Xenopus tropicalis: one gene and its partner. The protein of the gene in region 2 purifies or fractionates together with the protein of the main gene of each other region. This does not show direct contact. Links are inferred from orthologs where the notes say so. Each region holds a gene or a part of one and is shown on either strand. Other genes may lie near its edges.

Region 1 (5,072 bases), on a different chromosome or scaffold from region 2:
AATATAATGCACTGTTGCCCTGCACTGGTAAAACTGGTGTGTTTGCTACAGTAACACTACTATAATTTTTATAATACCGTATATACTCGAGTATAAGCCGATCCGAATATAAGCCGAGGTACCTAATTTTACCTAAGAAAACTGGAAAAACTTATTGACTCGAGTATAAGCCTATAGGGTGGGAAATGCAGCCGCTACTGCAAGTTGAAGTGATATCACCCCCCTCCCAGCAACCGATCAGCAGAACAATGAGAAGGGAGCAAGATAGCAGCTCCCAGTAGGTATCAGAATAGCACTCAATAGTAAGAAATCCAAGTCCAGCTTGGGACTCCCCCAGTTACATGGGAGTAGGAGAAACAATAGGTTACCTGAAAGCAGTTCTAATGTGTAGCGCTGGCTCCTTCTGAAAGCTCAGACTCGGGCACACTTTACTGCTGCGCTGCAAGTTGGAGTGATATCCCCCCCTCACCCCCAGCAGCCAATCAGCAGAACAATGGGAAGGGAGCAAGATAGGGAATCATTTAACCATGAAATAAACCCAATAGGATTGTTCTGCCCCCAATAAGGGGCAATTATATATATTGTTCCATTTCGCCTATGGATGGGTATGTAGGGCACAACTGCCTCTGCGTGCAGCTACTGTTCTGTGGGGCTCCATTGAAAGTGGGAACCATGGTGTTTGCATTGGATTGCACCCCACTTTATGGCCCCTTTGTTGGCAATATGGGGGGCATACAAGGAAATCCTTATGTGAAAGTGCCTGCACCCCTCCTATAATATCTGCCTTATGTCTGAGGGATGTGACATTCCCAATGTCAAAATAATTCATTGGAAGCAATATAAGCCGAGCCTTGTAGCAAAGAATGGAATTACCTGCAGAAAAGAATGTAAACTGTAATTGTGCATTCAGCCCGCACATCGTTCCCTTGCTCTGCGCTGTTGGGCTGGAGGCGCCATTAGTTTGGAGCAGCTTCAACTTGCACAAAGCGGCGCTACAGATCGGTGCCCTGAGAGCTCAGCAAATACCCCAATAAAATAATGAAATGGCACAAAGCGGCGCTACAGATCGGTGCCCTAATGCTCATACCTGTAAGGAGAAGCCCCCGCTCGGCAACGATGCCACGCGTCAGCACGCAAGTTAGGGCGCGTGCAGCTATGCATTTAATTCAGATACCGTATATATGCGAGTATAAGCCGAGGTTCACTTTTTAAGCACATTTTTAGTGCTAAAAAACTCGGCTTGTACTCGAGTATATACGGTAAGCTGCTGTGTAGCCCTGGGGGCAGCCATTCAAGCTGGAACAAAAGGAGAAAAGGCACAGGTTACATAGCAGATAACAGATAAGCTCTGTAGAATACAATAGTGTTTTATCTGTTATCTGCTATGTGCCTGTGCCTTTTCTCCTTTGAATGGCTGCCTCCATGGCTACACAGCAGCTTAATTATATAAATTATAGTAGACTTTCTGAAGCAAACACACAACTTTTACCAGTGCAGGGCAGCAGCACATTATATTTTAGTTACTTTTATACACTTTCATTTTTTGGTGTTACTGTTGCTTTAATCAGTTTAGTTCAGGCAGACGATAATCTCTGATCAAGTGTGCTTAATCTGATAAGGTAGTGGCAAAGGTGATGTTTCTAAGGGCTCTGGCACACGGGGAGATTAGTTGCCCGCGACAAATCTCCCTGTTCGCAGGCGACTAATCTCCCCGAGTTACCATCAGTTGCCATCCCACCGGCGAAAATGTAAGTCGCCGGTGGGATGGCACACGCGGCGGCACAATTTCTGCAAATTGCCGAAAATGCCTCGCAAGGCAACTTCGGCGATTTGCTGAAATCGCCTGCGCAGCGTGTGCCATCCCACCGGCGACTTACAATGGCAATTCGGGGAGATTAGTCGCCCGCGAACAGGGAGATTTGTCGCGGGCGACTAATCTCCCCGTGTGCCAGAGCCCTAAGGGTGAAGACACATGGAGCTACTAGTAGCAGCTACTAAAATAGACAATGCTGATAATTGTCTCTACGTTTTACAAGAGGCAATTCTCAGTATTGTCTATGGCAGAGTATTTTCTGGTGTAGCCGTGAGAAGTAGCTGCTACTAAGTAGCTCTGTGTGTCTTCACCCTAAGGACTTGGACACAGGGAGCGGTTTGTCCACTTCTCTCATTTAGCATTTATCCGTCAGGCTGAGAGAAGTAGATCCGCTTCCACACGCTGCTTCATTTTTTCTCCACAGGCCAAGAATCATCCCTGTGTGGCACTAGCAATACTGCTTCCCAAGTGGCACCTTTACACACGGCCAATCCGCTGCCCTACCTTTCTGTTCATTTTAACTCTCCGGTGTTCTAGCTACTGAAAAATCCTTTGGCTGTTCACCAGTTATATGGAAATCTCTCTACTTGTATTGGCAGCTTTACATTAATGGAGAGCACTAGTGCAGTCTGATACCCTGAGTCGGTGATCACTGGCTACTTGGGGAGACTGCCAGGTGTAATAACAGCCTTAAAGAGATTTAACCCCAAAAATGAAGTTAAAGTCCTGTGAGCACTTTTCCAGTTTAAACTGGTTACTGAGATAATGGCAGCTTTACACTGATTCCCAAGCTTTTTGGATCCAAAAAGTGCCAGCAACCCCAGCTGTGCTCTCCCTGCAGTCTCTTGAGAGAGTCAGAAGCCAGTTTATGTACTATAGCTCGGATGAGCACTGTCAGTAAGGCCAGTTTATATTTTGCATTTAGATGCCCTTTAACAGCACAGTTTTGCCAGAAGAGCTAGTGTGGGGGCTTTGCTGGGGGCACAGGGTACTGAGATAACTGATCCATCCCGTTAGGATTTAAACGAAGCTGAAACAGGATCGTTATCCCCCTGATGCCATGGGGTTAGCTGACACAGCCATACCCAGCCCCCCATACACACACACACACAGTGCTAGTCTAACAGCAGCACACCCATAGTGTCTCTCTCTATAGATCTTACAGTTTGTGCGAGTTGCAGTTCAGAAACCCGCTGCATCGGGCACCCCTTACCTCCCACTTCCCGGGCTCGGCGCAGCAGTCCCACTATAGCCTAAGGCGCCTCTCTCCCACCGTACCGCCAGCTATACCCACGTGTAGCGCTCCCGCACTGCGCAGACTATTTACTGTGACGCCACTTCCGCCCGGCTTCCCAGCGCCGCGACCTTGAGGGCGGAAGTGACGTACCTATCGGCGAAAGTCTTGACTCGTTCGGTTGATGGGTTCATGTTGGTGCGGCAGGGATAGAGCCAGAGGGGCCTCAGTGCCCGTACGTACAGACGGTAAGGGGCTCAGTCCGGAATGACCACCAAATGTAATAGTATATGTAAATAAACAACCTCGTATATATATATATATATATATACATACACACACACACACACACACACACACACTTAACCCTTTTACTGCCAGCCATTTTGGTCAAAGCGGAACTTGTATTGCCAGACAGTTTTTGAACATTTTGCACTGTTTCACTTTAGGGGCCTTTCCTCGGGGGGACTTTTAGTTTACCAAGGAAAACAATATATCGTTTTTTTCAGAACAACCTAAGCTTTCAAAATATGGTAGAATTTTTGTGTAATTCCAATTCTGTAACAAGATATAGGCTTCTAAATGTCTAAAAATGCAAAAAAAATCAAATTTTCCATAATATAATCACACATACTAGAAACAAAAATTATTTTATGCACGAATATACAACTGATTTGGAAAGTCCCATGTCTCCTGAACGTGCCAATACCAAATATATATAGTTTTATGGAGATTTCTCACTTGTATAGGTCAAAAACTCCCAGCAGTACACTACCAAATTCCCAAAGCACTGCTCCAAAAAAACTGCATACTTTGGATTTCAAGGCCAAAATTCCACTAACAGAAGGTTTATCCCAGAAAATTGTACATTTTTGGAAAGAACAGATTCTGGGGAATACAGAATAGGCACAACTGTCTGTCTACTCCAAACTATCAAGTTGCAATGCTTTCCTAAAGTTATTGGTTTTTATCAAAATTTGTGATTTTTTTTAAAAATCGCTTCAAAGCTTCTAGTCTATAGTATCTTATCTCCTACAGGTCATAAAGTAACCAAATAAAATACCCTAAATATAAATGCCTGGGGTCCACTGAACAGTTTGATGCCCAATATGTATAGGTTTACCTAAGTATGTGGCATGTAGGGGCCCCAATGTGAACATACCCCATATGAACTGTCATTTCTGTCATTTCAGCTTCTGCAAAATCAACACATTTACATCATTATATGTGGGATGAAGCTAGTAAAAAGTACGCTCACCCCAGAAAGTCATATATTTTTGGAAAGTACACATTCCCCCGAATCTAAAATGGGTACCCATGTCTTTCTACTCCAAAGTACCAAGCCGCACAGCTTTTCTAAAGTTAGCAATTTTGATGACATTTCCAAAAATCCCCTCAAAGCTTCCAATTTGAAGCATCTTATCTCCCACATAGCATTAGGTACCAAGATAAAACACCCTGAATTTGAACACCAGGGGTCCACTGAACAGTTTGATGCCCAATATGTATAGGTTTACCCAAGTATGTGGCATGTAGGGGCCCGAATGTGAACATACCCCCATATATACTGTCATTTCTGTCATTTCAGCTTCTGCAAAATCAACACATTTACATCATTATATGTGGGATAAAGCTAGTAAAAAGTATGCTCACCCCAGAAAGTCATATATTTTTGGAAAGTACACATTCCCCCGAATCTAAAATGGGTACCTATGTCTTTCTACTCCAAAGTACCAAGCCGCACAGCTTTTCTAAAGTTAGCAATTTTGATGACATTTCCAAAAATCCCCTCAAAGCTTCCACTTTGAAGCATCTTATCTCCCACATAGCATTAGGTACCAAGATAAAACACCCTGAATTTGAACGCCAGGGGTCCACTAAACAGTTTGATGCCCAATATGTATAGGTTTACCTAAGTATGTGGCATGTAGGGGCCCCAATGTGAACATACCCCCATATGAACTGTCATTTCTGTCATTTCAGCTCCTGCAAAATCAACACATTTACATTATTATATGTGGGATA
Region 2 (4,426 bases):
TATATATATATATATATATATATATATATATATATATATATATATATGTGTGTGTGTGCTCTTCATATATCCCATTTGCCGGACAGGAAAACTTGGTTATTTTTCTTTTGATAGCGCACAGCTGTAAATTATTTCAACTAGAGGAAAGGTATATTTCAATTGTTAGAATTAACTTGTAATAAAATAATAATAGGGTGACTAGCACTTTCAGCCTCACAAGTTCTGCCCATGGAATCATGAAGGTGTAAGCAAGTATAAAATATAAACATTAATTTTGAACAACTGATTGTTTTGTTACTTTTTTTTTTAATATGGTGTGAAATAAAAATGGGGAATTTACCAAAAAAATGCATGCCATAGTACCACCCTACACTAGGCTTGACAATTATTTAACTTCAATAACTCACACTCGAGCTGCTTTCAGTTTCTTCTGTACAATGTAAAGATGAAAGTCTGCTCTCCTCAGACTGCCCTCTAGAATTTGATGTCCGTGATTTTCCTCTGGACCCTCTTCCTCGACCACGTTGAGGAGCCAAACCTCTGCGTGTAAAACTACCTTCTAATTCATCTGAAAGTAAAAGAAAAAAAACAAAACTATTATATATATTATGTACAATGGATTGATATAGTATGTACAAATATGTATGTACTTTCTATAAACTGCCTAATCTCGGCTGGCTGCTATCTCACTTACACCAGACCATATGGCTTGGGAGGAATGCCATAGCCTTTGTAGTTTCTTGTAAAAGATAATAAAGTTACTCTTCATTCTGCCCTTCTCGGCAATCTTTCTCTCTCTGCGCAGAAGGTGGAGTCAGGTTTTCACAGACAGTTAGGGCTAATAAATCCTTTGGGGGGGGGGGGGGGTGTAACCTTCTGCCTAGAACATGTATTAGAGCTCACTCTTTCAAAATAACCGGCTCTGATGGAAACCCTGTTTCTCTGCTTGCAAGGTGTGAGATAGAGTCAGTTATTTTGTTAGCTTTTGTTTGTGCTTGAGTTGGGTATTTAAGTTAGCTCTAGTACATCTGCTAGGAAAGGGAGCCCCCCTAAAAGACATCTTTGACCTACCTGTTGATCAAAATCTGACCCAGACCTCAGCATAAAGAGAGCATGGAGCCTGACAGGTTGCTGAGAGTGAGATACTGTAGAATAACGTATGAATGTATAAATTTTGGATAAAATTTTTGACTAAGAGTTAATTTATCTACATATTTCTGAATTTAAATGAATGCATGCAAAATGGAGTCTATAATGCCAAAATTTACATTTACTCCACACAGAGCTAATACAAAAACACCTAAGCCCAAGAGACATTTGGGAAACAAAAAAACTCACCATCTGAATTTTGCACCTGTTCCTTATGCTTTCTACAAAAAATCCTGTAACAGAAATACTATGTGGTTATTATTTAAGACAGGAATAACAGGGTAAAAATTTAATTTATTGTCTACTGGCAGACATATACCAACAGATGTAGCTCTTCCATCACAGGAGATCCCATTCTCTAAACAGCTGTCACCTCTGAAAATGCAAACTTAAGGGCTCTGGCACACGGGGAGATTAGTCGCCCGCGGCAAAACTCCCTGTTCGCGGGTGACTAATCTCCCCGAGTTGCCTTCCCCTGCCATCCCACCGGCGAACAATGAAGTTGCCGGTGGGATGGCAGACGCGGCGGGGCGATTTTGGGAAATCGCCGAAAAAGACTTGCGAGTCTTTTTCGGCGATTTGCGCGAAATCGCGTCGCCGCATCTGCCATCCATCCGGTGACTTACATGTTCGCCGGTGGGATGGCAGGGGAAGGCAACTCGGGGAGATTAGTCGCCCGCGAACAGGGGAGTTTTGCCGCGGGTGACTAATCTCCCTGTGTGCCATAGCCCTAAAGTAACAGTATACACCTAAAACACCTTTGCTAAAAATTACTGCAATAAACAGAACTTGTATTGAAATTACATATGCCTATTGTCTTAATTTAAAAAAAAGTATTTTTTCTATTTTTGGCCATTATAAAACGTCAATTTGAAAAATGGGCTATTTTCACCTTACCCCCCACCCCCTTTAGGCTGATGCCACACGAGGCGTAGGGCTGAAATTTTCGGCAAGCGGAAAAGCGCTTGCTGAAAATTCAGCCCTACGCCTGCTACTTGTGCCTGCACCCGAATGAATGGGATACGCTCGGGTGCAGGCACATGTAGCCGATATACGCATGAAAACGCGAGAGAATGCAAAGTCTCGCGTTTTCATGCGTATAGCGGCTACTTGTGCCTGCACCCGAGCGTATCCCAATCATTCGGGTGCAGGCACAAGTAGCAGGCGTAGGGCTGAATTTTCGGCAAGCGCTTTTCCGCTTGCTGAAAATTTCAGCCCTACATCTCGTGTGGCATCAGCCTTATAAACAGGGCAATTTTTTCAGAGCTCCCAATCTACCTTTGAACAAACAAAACCCTCCCCTCTATAAGCAGCAGTCTTTGAGCAGGTAATTATCAGGTGCTTCTTGCCGGACTAGTAATCAGTTTTATTAACTCCTCTGATGTTCTGTGGCAGTGCTGTCCAACTTCTACGGTGCCAAGGGCCGGAATTTCTCTAGCATACATGGTGGAGGGCCGCTAATGGAAGCCAGTTTTGACCACTCCCCTTTTTGAAACCACACCCACTTCAAACCACACCTATTTTATCACAATGGTGGTAGCACAGCAAAATCCCAAATGCTTGGTCCTTACTGTGGGGATATCGACCATCATTCATATGTGAAAGAATTATGTCATATTAAGATATACCCTTAAATTCCATATGCCCCCTCCTCCCCTGTGGATAGCAGAGCAACCCCCAGTACATAACTACACACCTTAGGGACCATTTAATGGCTATTTCCAACTGCTAACAAACTCCCACAACAAACCCCTGCCAGGTTCACCTCCCACAAGCAGCATAGGGCAAGCAGAGAATGGCACACACAGGCAGCACTCTGCCTGTCCTATGCTGTCTGTGTGCGCCATACTCTGCCTGTCCTACCCTGCCTGTGTGTGCCATACTGTGCCTTCCCTATGCTACCTCTGTGTGCCATACTCTGCCTGCCCTACCCTGCCTGTGTGTGCCATACTCTGCCTGCCCTATGCTGCCTGTGTGTGCCATACTCTACCTGCCCTACCCTTCCTGTGTGTCCCATACCCTCCCTGACCTATGCTGCCTGTGTGTGCCATACTCTACCTGCCCTATGCTGGCTGTATGTGCCATACTCTACCTGCCCTATGCTGGCTGTATGTGCCATACTCTGCCTACAGTACCTATGTCTGAGGTGTGAAGAAGTGAACAATGGGAGTGATTACAGGCTGAGCCTGAGGTGTGAACACTGCAGGGGGTGAACAATGCAGGTATTAAAAGGTGTGAAAAACACAGGGGATTACATTTTTAAACAATACAGAGGGATTACAGCCTGAATCTGAGGTGTGAGCAATGCAGGGGGCAGTTAATCTCAGTACTGATACCATTTAATGCTTACTCAAAGGTAAGCCATCAAAGCAGCCAGACAGGTGGGGGGCCACACAGAGGGGGGTCGAGGGCCGCATGCGGCCCGCGGGCCGCCAGTTGGACAGCACTGTTCTGTGGGATCAGGAAGCACAGAAAGTGCTAAAGTGAAACTGGCTTCAAAATTCTTGTTTAGTCCACAAATAACAGTAATCATAGATATATCTCAATTAAAGCAAAAAGTATGTTAAGCACAATCCTTATACATTTAGCTTATCCTGAAAAGGGGTATTTACTGTCCCTTTAAGTTGGGCACACATGTTTAGATCCATTTGCATGGCAAACCACAGTATGGTTTTATGTATATAAAAAAAATTAGAGAGAGAGAAGAAGAGAGAGAAAGGCTATTGCCATCTGGTTCATGTGATGGAAATTATTTTGCTCACTGGTTTTAATGCATACAAAATGGTCTGTGACATTATTAAATGTACATGCGTCTCTGTTAGACTAAAGAACCACATAAGATGCCAGCAGACTAATTTTGTGTAGGTTCGACTTGCCTTGAAATTTCTACTGCTACTATCTCCTTGGGTTTTCTGAGTATAAGTCAACTAACAACTGTACTGACAGAACAAGTTATTCCAGGTAATGTACCCCAACTGTAACTTTTAAGTTTTTCAGAAATCATAAGTTCTGCATGCATTCAAAAGCAAAAGGCCTAAGGAAACTGAAGGTGACTTACAATAGTTTTTTTTATATTTTAATAACAGGTATATAATCCAGTATAATGTACAGGATGCCAAAGTTAGTAATGCTAACATGGATGGACGATATAACAATCGTATAAGGCAGCAACACAAACATGCTGTCAAACCAGTGGCAAAAGGCCAATGGTACAAAGTACTTCTTCTGCATACCAGTATTGCCATGGACACTTGTCTTAAGGGGCATCCATGTTAGC

Evidence for each region. The genes of interacting proteins can lie anywhere in the genome.
Region 1: the proteins of phf6 (region 2) and lyar purify together in Homo sapiens (affinity purification with mass spectrometry; 3 studies listed by BioGRID and IntAct, with this or other methods). This does not show direct contact. The link is inferred for Xenopus tropicalis from reciprocal best matches to the Homo sapiens genes PHF6 and LYAR.

The regions. Positions count from the first base shown.
Region 1 is NC_030677.2:26,336,398-26,341,469, reverse strand, and holds the start of lyar (cell growth-regulating nucleolar protein), read right to left. Parts: upstream 3,128-5,072; 5' UTR 3,027-3,127; intron 1-3,026. UniProt on the Homo sapiens protein: Plays a role in the maintenance of the appropriate processing of 47S/45S pre-rRNA to 32S/30S pre-rRNAs and their subsequent processing to produce 18S and 28S rRNAs. Also acts at the level of transcription regulation.
Region 2 is NC_030684.2:68,411,579-68,416,004, reverse strand, and holds part of phf6 (PHD finger protein 6), read right to left. Parts: intron 1,383-4,426; coding exon 1,339-1,382; intron 569-1,338; coding exon 408-568; intron 1-407.